3 linked regions of the Cricetulus griseus genome follow. The protein of the gene in region 3 interacts with the protein of the main gene of each other region in a pairwise test. Links are inferred from orthologs where the notes say so. Each region holds a gene or a part of one and is shown on either strand. Other genes may lie near its edges.

Evidence for each region.
Region 1: the proteins of Mybpc3 (region 3) and Actc1 interact in a two-hybrid assay, tested with the Homo sapiens proteins (2 studies listed by IntAct). The link is inferred for Cricetulus griseus from reciprocal best matches to the Homo sapiens genes MYBPC3 and ACTC1.
Region 2: the proteins of Mybpc3 (region 3) and myosin-7 interact in a two-hybrid assay, tested with the Homo sapiens proteins (2 studies listed by IntAct). The link is inferred for Cricetulus griseus from reciprocal best matches to the Homo sapiens genes MYBPC3 and MYH7.

Annotation. Positions count from the first base shown.
Region 1 is NC_048599.1:64,430,590-64,433,573, forward strand, and holds the end of Actc1 (actin, alpha cardiac muscle 1), read left to right. Parts: intron 1-98; coding exon 99-260; intron 261-440; coding exon 441-632; intron 633-1,479; coding exon 1,480-1,661; intron 1,662-2,157; coding exon 2,158-2,301; 3' UTR 2,302-2,484; downstream 2,485-2,984. UniProt on the Homo sapiens protein: Actins are highly conserved proteins that are involved in various types of cell motility and are ubiquitously expressed in all eukaryotic cells.
Region 2 is NW_023276807.1:210,171,837-210,174,681, forward strand, and holds part of myosin-7, read right to left. Parts: coding exon 2,706-2,845; intron 2,254-2,705; coding exon 2,070-2,253; intron 1,931-2,069; coding exon 1,765-1,930; intron 1,597-1,764; coding exon 1,472-1,596; intron 907-1,471; coding exon 598-906; intron 357-597; coding exon 153-356; intron 52-152; coding exon 1-51. UniProt on the Homo sapiens protein: Myosins are actin-based motor molecules with ATPase activity essential for muscle contraction. Forms regular bipolar thick filaments that, together with actin thin filaments, constitute the fundamental contractile unit of skeletal and cardiac muscle.
Region 3 is NC_048599.1:85,626,775-85,630,274, reverse strand, and holds part of Mybpc3 (myosin-binding protein C, cardiac-type), read left to right. Parts: intron 1-1,629; coding exon 1,630-1,789; intron 1,790-2,263; coding exon 2,264-2,368; intron 2,369-2,451; coding exon 2,452-2,640; intron 2,641-3,500. UniProt on the Homo sapiens protein: Thick filament-associated protein located in the crossbridge region of vertebrate striated muscle a bands. In vitro it binds MHC, F-actin and native thin filaments, and modifies the activity of actin-activated myosin ATPase.

The sequences.
Region 1 (2,984 bases), about 21 Mb from region 3:
TATCTTGACTTGTTTCTCAAACCCAAACAGAAGCAGGTTTAACTATGGCTGAAGCATCCTCAGTGCTTCATCCCTTTCTCATCCATCTTTTCTAACAGGCATTGTTCTGGACTCTGGTGATGGTGTAACTCACAATGTCCCCATCTATGAGGGTTATGCCTTACCCCATGCCATCATGCGTCTGGATCTAGCTGGTCGGGATCTCACTGACTACCTCATGAAGATCCTCACTGAGCGCGGGTACTCCTTTGTCACCACTGGTGAGTGTCTGTGTGTGTGTGTGTGTGTGTGTGTGTGTGTGTGTGTGTGTGTGTGTGTTGTGTATATGTCTTCTCTGGACAGTCTACATCTGTTGGTTTTGCTTCCTCGATGGACCCACCTACTTTCCTGCAATTGATTTCTTCTTCCAAGCTTGACTATGAAGCCCTTTATCTCTGCAGCTGAACGTGAAATCGTGCGTGACATTAAGGAAAAACTGTGTTACGTCGCCCTGGACTTTGAGAATGAGATGGCTACAGCTGCCTCTTCCTCCTCTCTGGAGAAGAGCTATGAACTGCCTGATGGCCAGGTCATCACCATTGGCAACGAGCGTTTCCGCTGTCCAGAGACACTCTTCCAGCCTTCTTTCATTGGTAAGAGATGCATTCTGGTGTTGAAGCTCAGCTTCTCTAGAAATTCTGGACTCTCCCAGAGTAATGCCCATTTTAATTAAAAGGACAGCAGGGTTCTTGAGTCAAAGTCTGGCATCTCACCAAGCTCAGTATTGCTTTTAAGTAAAGAGAAAGACAGAACTAGCTGCTCTAGTGAAAAATGACTGATAATGTTACACCAAGTTTACCTCATAGTAGAGAGTGAGATGCAGCAGTCACTGAATAGCGCATGACTGATTATTCAAGAAAGCCAATTTATTCTAATAAGTTCCATTACCCATAGACTAGACTTTAAGTTATTCACCATCAAATGCAATCACAACGGTAACTGGACGTTTGATGTCACCAAATATCTTTCCTACACACTTGTTTCCAGAAGAAGCTGGAATCTGATTTTAGTCCATAATTTAAGTGTGGTAGCTCACACTTGCAATCCCAGTGCTCAGAAACTGAGGCAGGAGGATTGCCTTGAGTTCAAGGCTAGCCTGGGCTACAGAGATTCATCTTAAAACAAAACAAAATAGGCTAATTTTCACTTAAACACGTGTGAATCTTTTTACAATATATCTCCATACTCCTGATGACTGCAGGATGTGTTCATGCCAAACAGGCACTGAACACAGTTGTCTATCTTGGCAGACTGTACTGAATTATCTATTAGCACATTTTAGAGACCTTTGTCCCACCTGTTCCCAGCAGCGTGTTGTGGGGGAGCATATGTTTTAGATACAAATGGTGGCAGCTCACCAACACGGAAGAATTCTGTCCTCTGTCCCCTCCACCCCTGCCTGAATGTGCTGTGAATACTTTAAAAAGAACTTGTTCCTAGGTATGGAATCTGCTGGCATCCATGAAACTACTTACAATAGCATCATGAAGTGTGACATCGATATCCGCAAGGACCTATATGCCAACAATGTCCTATCTGGAGGCACCACTATGTACCCTGGTATTGCTGATCGTATGCAAAAGGAAATCACTGCACTGGCTCCCAGCACCATGAAGATTAAGGTAGAGAGCGTTTGTGAGTGGGAGGGCAAAGGCAAATCTTGGTATTCTAAGCCAAACTTCCTACTTTGGAATCTTTGCTTCTTAACTTCTACAAAGTTTTCTGCTTAGTGCTAATACTTTTCCTGATTTTTTTTCTAGCACGTTTCCCCAAGATATGACTTTTTAAGACTGCTTCTAAATAGTGAATATAAGTAAATATTTGAAACACAGAGGAGAGAAATAACTAAACTTACCTACACATTTAAAAGGCCCCAGGTTTTGAGCATGCATTTAGACTTTTGCCATATTATTCTCTAATGTAAAGAAGTAGGGACATGATGAAATGCAGGGAAGTTTGCAAAACCCAATTGGCTACATTGCTTTATGGTATGAAATCTCCTGTATTATTGATTGTCAGTTAATCTGTGATGCTTTTTCTGTGAATATTCCAAATCTATTGCCTGCGCCGTTGTTGGGAACTTCAAAACAGACTGATGGTTTTGTTTTCTTTCTGCAGATTATTGCTCCCCCTGAGCGTAAATACTCTGTGTGGATTGGGGGCTCTATTCTGGCCTCTCTGTCCACCTTCCAACAAATGTGGATCAGCAAGCAAGAGTATGACGAGGCAGGCCCATCCATTGTCCATCGCAAGTGCTTCTAAGATGTCTCTTTCTTAGTCTACCTTACATTCAGGATGGTGGTATTGTGCTTCTTGGAATCCTCTGAGCCCCGCTCCCCCATCTCTCATCAGTCATTGTACAGTTTGTTTACACACGTGCAGTTTGTTTGTGCTTCAAATATTTATTGCTTTATAAATAAATCAGATGAGGACTTGCAACCTACAGAAGCCTCTCTTCTTTCTTGTGGGAGTAGTCCTGGGGTGGGAAAGGCTTTTGTTCCAGTACCCTGGACCTGGGATGGGAAAGGAGGTGTCTCGTACCCTAGGCCCAAGATGGGGAAGGCCTTTGCTTGGTCACCCTAGGCCTGGGATGGGGAAGATATTTGTTCTGGTACCCTGGTGTTATCATATTATAGCAACACCAAGCTTGACAGATAAATTCATGTGGCATTGAGCTAGGAGTTAGAGCACTACATTTTGATTTTATCTTTTGGGGTAAAATCATGAATATATTTTGAATCTTAGAAGCAAAGATTAGTTCTGTGGTTTAGTTGTTTAGTTTACTTCTTTAGAAGTAAGCAAAGAAGGTGGGTAATACAATCATCTACAGTTAGTTGCTATATTTGGTATTGCAAATTGTTTTTTGCCACATCTTACATATTTCAAAACTTTATAGAAAACACACATTTTGGTAACAAAGAAAGTCAACGTTTACTTTAAATCGG
Region 2 (2,845 bases), on a different chromosome or scaffold from region 3:
CTGGGACAGGTCCGCGTCCATCTTCTTCTTCTGGTTGATGAGGCTGGTGTTCTGGGAGGAGAGTGGCAGGGCAGGAAACAGTCTGGGCATCTCCGAGGGGCTCTTTCCCCTGTTGCCCGCTGAGCTCAGGAATGCGCAGGGCACCCCATCACCTGAGAGTGCAGCAGCTGCACCCGCTCACTGGTCTCAATCAGCTCCTGCTCCGCCAGCTTCCGGGACCGCTCTGTCTGCTCCACTACAGCCCGCAGCTCCTCCAGCTCCGCCTGCAGCAAGTTGTTGCGCCTCTCCACGATGGCAATGTTCTCCTTCAGGTCGTCATTGGCGCGGACGGCGTCATCCAGCTGGATTTGAGTGTCCTGAGGATCCGCAAAATGAGCATAAGCTAGAAATCTGGCCTTGGTGCCTTCGCAAGGCTGTTGCATAGAACTGGGGTGTGGGTGGGCAGTCCATTGTGGTGGCTCAGGATTGACCTCTCAGATATCTCTACAATGACTGTGTGACAAGAGACAGATAGTGCCTCTACCATCTAATTAGCCCATATAGAAGCTAGTCCCCTCTCTGGGTGAGGTGACACCGTTTCCGGAAGTCTCTGAGTACCTTCAGCAGACTCTGGAGGCTCTTCACTTGTTTCTGGGCCTCGGCAGCCATGCGGTTGGCATGGCTGAGCTGGATCTCCATCTCATTGAGGTCGCCCTCCATCTTCTTCTTCACCCGCAGGGCCTCATTGCGGCTGCGAGTCTCTGCATCCAGGGAGGTCTGCAGGGAGTCCACCACCCGCAGGTGGTTGCGCTTGGCCTGCTCCATCTCCTCGTCCTTCTCTGCCAGCTTCCTTTCGATCTCTGCCTTGATCTGGTTGAACTCCAGCTGAGCCCGGAGGATCTTGCCCTCCTCGTGCTCCAGGGAGGCCTGGAAAGGGTGTGGGGAAAGGGTTTTGCGGGCATATAGTCAGAGTCCAGGGCAGAAGCAGGGGTCTGTCTAAAAAACATGATACAGAGAGAGTTCGGGAATGGTGTGCATGGCTCAGGAATCAGTGTGCAGAGGAAGAAAGGAGAGGGCGTGCATAAGATAAATGAAAGCAAGCTGAAGAAAAGGTGATGCAGACTCCCAGCGGGGAGAGCCAGAGTTGAAGACAAAGAGGAAAATGAAAAGTGTTGCCAAGGAAACAGGCAATCAAGCACAGAGTGAAAAAAAAAAAAAACCAAAAAACCAGGCATGCAGAGGTGGAAAGGGGCTGAGTGGAAACAAGGATGCCTCTCAGGTACTACTAATGCAATGCTCCCATGGAGGGGGCTAGGTGACCCTGAACTCATCCATTGACAAATGTTTGCTGGGTGTCTCCTATGTGTCCAGCACTGGCCTAGGCCCTGGCAATGAGCCAGGGAGGAGGAAACCAGACTAAGGGGAGATGAGAGCAGGGACCAAATCTAGATCTCATTCCCTGCCCCAGCCCTGCTCCCTCCTGCACGCCTACCTCAGCCTCCTCCAGGGCAGACTGCAGCTCCAGCTTCTCAGCCTCCAGCTGTTTTCGGATCTTCTCCAGCTCATGGATGCTCTTCCCAGTGGAGCCCAGCTGCTCAGTCAGATCTGAGATCTCCTCTGTGGGGGACACATAGTGACTCAGTCTGGGGTTTCTGTGGTCTCGTATGGGGCACGTTTCTTTGCCTGGACTGCAGTTGGGGCCCTCAGACATGGGGCATGGCCCTTCCCTGGCCCTGTGAGACTTCCCTGTCCCTATGGCCCTTCCCTGCCCTTCGGCTCACACACCCTGAAGGTTCTTGTTCTCCCGCTTGAAGGTCTCCAGGTGTTCCAATGACTCCTCATAGGCATTCTTGAGCTTGAAGAGCTCTGTGCTCAGGGAGCGCGCCTCCTTCTGGGAAGACTCCAGCTCTGACTGGGACTCCTCATACTTCTGCTTCCACTCTGCCAGGATCTGCAGGGGAGGGGCACGTGGTCCAGAGCTGCCCCAGGCCCCGCCCCCCCCACGCCTCCAAGGAGAACGCTCTGGCTTGAGCTGGCACTGACCCCTGCCATCACTGCGCACCCTGTCCACAGCTCCACCATGAGCCCACCTTGTCGAAGTTCCTCTGCTTCTTGTCCAGGGCTGCGGCGGCGGCATTGGAGCGCTCCACGTCCACCATCAGGTCCTCGATCTCGTTCTGCAGCCTGTGTTTGGTCTTCTCCAGTGAGGAACACTTGGCATTGACGGCCTCCACAGCCTCCTCTGCATCCTGAAGCCTCTGGGCCAGCTTCTTCCTGCAGCGGGGGAAGGAGGAAGGGTGGCAGGGTAGAAAGGGAGGGGGAGAATGGAGGAGGTAGATTTGGACAAGAGGAAAACATGTGAGTCTTTCAAAAGAAGCATCCAGAAAAGCCTGCAGACAGGCTCCAGAGGCCCAGCACTTGGCAGGCAGATCTTAGTAGCTGAGCAAGAAGACATAGAACACCTTGAAGACCATGAGGCTACAACCTTCTTGGCTGCAGCCACCATTCCCTACGGCACCCTACCCCAGGTGGGAGCACTCAGCCCTCAGACAAACCTTTTGTTCGTCTTATATTCGGATGAGAAACATAACGCGAGCAAAAAGCTTCCCCGAGAGGAGCAGGAGGTGGGGCTGGGGCAGGGCCCTCCTGCGCTGTCACATTCTATCTAAGTGTCCCCCACGTGGGGTCTACTGAGCATCAGGCTGGGCTGGATGCCCAGGACTCACTTGGCTTCCTCCAGTTCCTCAGTCCTCTGTATGGCGTCCGTCTCATACTTGGTCCTCCACTGGGCCACCTCTGAGTTGGCCTTGGACAGGACACGCTGTAGCTCAGCCTTGGCCTCTGTCTCCTCTTCATACTGTTCCCG
Region 3 (3,500 bases):
ACCAAGGTCTTGGTGTCCTTGACTTTGCTAGGAAGCCATTGTAACTGGGATGATTCCTGGATCCCTGCCTTTCTTCTTTTTATTAATAATTTTTCCTTGTTCTTGAGAATTTCATACATATATACAATGAAACATGAGCATATCCACCATTTTACCCCTCCAACTCCCATTATTCCCAACTCCTCTTTTTCTTCTTCTATACTGGGTCTCATTATGGAGTCCTGGCTGACCTGGAACTCCTTATGTGGACCAGGCTGGCCTCAAAACTCAGACATCCACTCACTTCTGCCTCAAGAGTGCTCAGATGTTTTTTCTGTGCTTTTTTTTCCCTCTAACCCACTAAGTTCAATTAGTGCTGCCAATAAACACATAGGTGTGGGGCCACCCACGGGAGCACAGGCAGCCACAGCCTATCCACAGGAGCACAGGCAGCCTACCTGCCCCCGCCCCCCCCAAGCTGGCTTCATCAAGTGCAGACAACCATAGCTGCTGAGAACTCCTGATTGCTATGGGCGGCATGGCCAGAAGATGGCGTTTCACACATTCCTCCCTATCCTCTGGCTCTTATGTTCTTTCTGCCTTGCCCGCCAAGAGGTTCCTGAGCTGTGGGAGGGGCGGCACGGTTGACAGAGATGTCTGTCTTGTTCTCAGCACTGACTCTTATGCATCTCCATCTGACTGCTTGCTGTCCGAGGCAGACAGAAGCTTCTTGACTAAGGTTGAGACTGGCCAGGTCTGTGGGTAGAAACATAAGACAATTTGACAACATGACCATTTAACAAATGACAACAGCAGGCTGGCTTAACTCTAGGGCCCATGCCCTCCTCAGCCATGGGCTTCTGACCAGCATTACAGTACCAGGCATGGCATTCCCTTCTGTGGAGCAGGCCTCATATGCTAACAGAGAGCAGCACTTACCCCAGGACAGTTGTGCTAGTGCTCCAGTGGACACTTGCCAGGCAGCTTGTTATCTTGGCATGCAGAGTCCAGTGCTGGGTAAGACCACTGGTTGCTTTCCTCCCCAACAAGCTGCACAGCACCCCTGGCTCTCTGCAGCAAGTGCAGCTGCCTGGCACAGCCCAGTCATGCCTTTTCTCCTCTGTTCCCCTGCTGGCTTTTCTGAAGGTCTTAATAGCTGGGGTCTTTCTGGAGCCTCACAATAGCTTTGTGGGGTCACCTGCTTCCCATTTGACAGACAGGAAAAGTGAGGCACACAGAATCTAGTTTCCATGATGAAACTAGATCAGTCTAAGCCCCTTGCCTGTGTCTTGCCATATTGATTTTATTTATTTATTTAGTTTGCTTGTTTGTTTTTTGAGACAGGGTTTCTCTGTATTGCTTTGGAGCCTATCCTGGAACTCACTCTGGAGACCAGGCTGGCCTCAAACTCACAGAGATGCACGTGCCTCTGCCTCCCAAGTGCTGGGATTAAAGACGTGTGCTACCAACACCCAGCACTATATTGAAAATTTTGACTAGTCACTCACACGGTGCAGTTTCCACCCGGGCTCTGCCCCCACTACTTCCAACAGACCCTGAATTGAACTCCCCTCTCATTGAAGGGCTGATGGCTACCGTACAGGTTCATGTCTGACTTGGGCCTTTTTCCCAACTCTCTCTCCTTTTCAGCTGTTGTGTGAGACTGAGGGCCGGGTCCGTGTGGAGACCACTAAGGACCGCAGTGTCTTCACGGTTGAAGGAGCAGAGAAGGAAGATGAAGGTGTCTACACTGTCACAGTAAAGAACCCCGTGGGCGAGGACCAGGTCAACCTCACAGTCAAGGTCATCGGTGAGGCAACTGGAGGTCCAGGCTGGAGAACACAGGACACCAGGGAGGGTCCATCCATTCACTCACTTACTCAACAGTTATCACAGGGCACTCTAAAGCAGGCCATGGTGATGACTGGAACCTTTTTTATGCCTGAGAGGAGCCCTGCTTGAAGGGGAGATGGGTGTGTAGAAATGTCACTATCTGTGACATTGATAGTTCTCTGGGAGAAATGGCGTGGGGCAATCACTGTGTTCTGGAGGGCTGAGTGGGGTCAGAAGGATGTAGCCGATCGCAGCTGATACACGAGGTGAAAACAGACAGTGTGGAGCCATAAGTGGTAAGATGGTAGCATGATAGATTCTGCATTGCTTTGACTCTGGCGGTGGTGGGAGCAGATGGCTGTTACTGGTTGGGGTGGCGAGAAGAAGAGGTGAGCAATGTTGTTAGACCCTGAGCTGGACATAGCTGACACAGTGTCTCTTCCTCGTCAAGATGTGCCAGACGCTCCTGCAGCCCCCAAGGTCAGCAATGTGGGCGAGGACTCCTGCACTGTGCGGTGGGAGCCACCTGCCTACGACGGTGGACAGCCGGTCCTGGGTGAGTGCCAGGGCATGCAGACAAGCGTAGGCAGCTGTCACCTAGTGACTGGGCACAGACCCAGCTCTCATCTCCTCTCTCAGGATACATCCTGGAGCGCAAGAAGAAGAAGAGCTATAGGTGGATGAGGCTCAACTTTGATTTGCTGCGGGAGCTGAGCCACGAGGCGAGGCGCATGATCGAGGGTGTAGCCTATGAGATGCGTGTCTACGCAGTCAATGCCGTGGGGATGTCCAGACCCAGCCCTGCCTCTCAGCCCTTCATGCCTATTGGTGAATATGGTTGACTCCCAGAACTCCTGGGCCACGGGAGCAAATGGTAGCAGCCTTGAAGCTGATAGGTGGCCTCTGCATCAGGCCTCTGCATGCCTGGGTTCTGGTGCTGTCAGGGGTAACCTACCTTGTCCCACAGATGAGGAAACTCAGGCTGAACAAGTTAAATGGCCTCAGGGTCACCTCACTGATAGGACGGACACTCTGGTGAACACTAGTCCCATTCCTTCACAATTGAGACGGGATTTTACTTATGTAGCTCTGGCTGGCCTGGAACTCTCTATGTAGACCAAGCTGGCTTCAAACTCAGAAATCCACCTGCCCCTGCCTTCTGAGTGCTGTGATTAGAGTTGTGTGCTCCCTGCCCCAGAGGTCACAAGAGGGCAGCAGATTCCCTAGAACTGGAGTTACAGGAAATTGTACGCCACCATGTCGGGGCTGGGAACTGAACCTGAGTCCTCTGCAAGAGTCATTGCACCAGCTCCCAGCCTTCTTCCCTTTTTTTCAAGGAACTACTTTCTGGTTTGTGCGACTCACCTAATCACACATTGCCAGGATATTCCCACATTTCATGCTGGCTTTTGGCTTTCTTACACTTCTTGAGCTTCCTACGCCAATAGGCGAGTCTTTTCTGCATCCTTGTGTTCTCTTGGCTCCTTTCCTTTTTTGGGGGGGGAGGGTCCCTGCTTTGTAACTGCTCTTGTTACAAAGTCAATCCAGAGACATGTCTTTTAATGCAGGCCAAATGTTCCTGGACACACTTGGAAGCCAGCAGAGGGGAAGTCCTTCCTATGAGAGCAGCAAAACCTGAGGTCCTGGTCCTGAGTGGCAGCTTCCTTGCATGGTGCGGTCTCACTCAG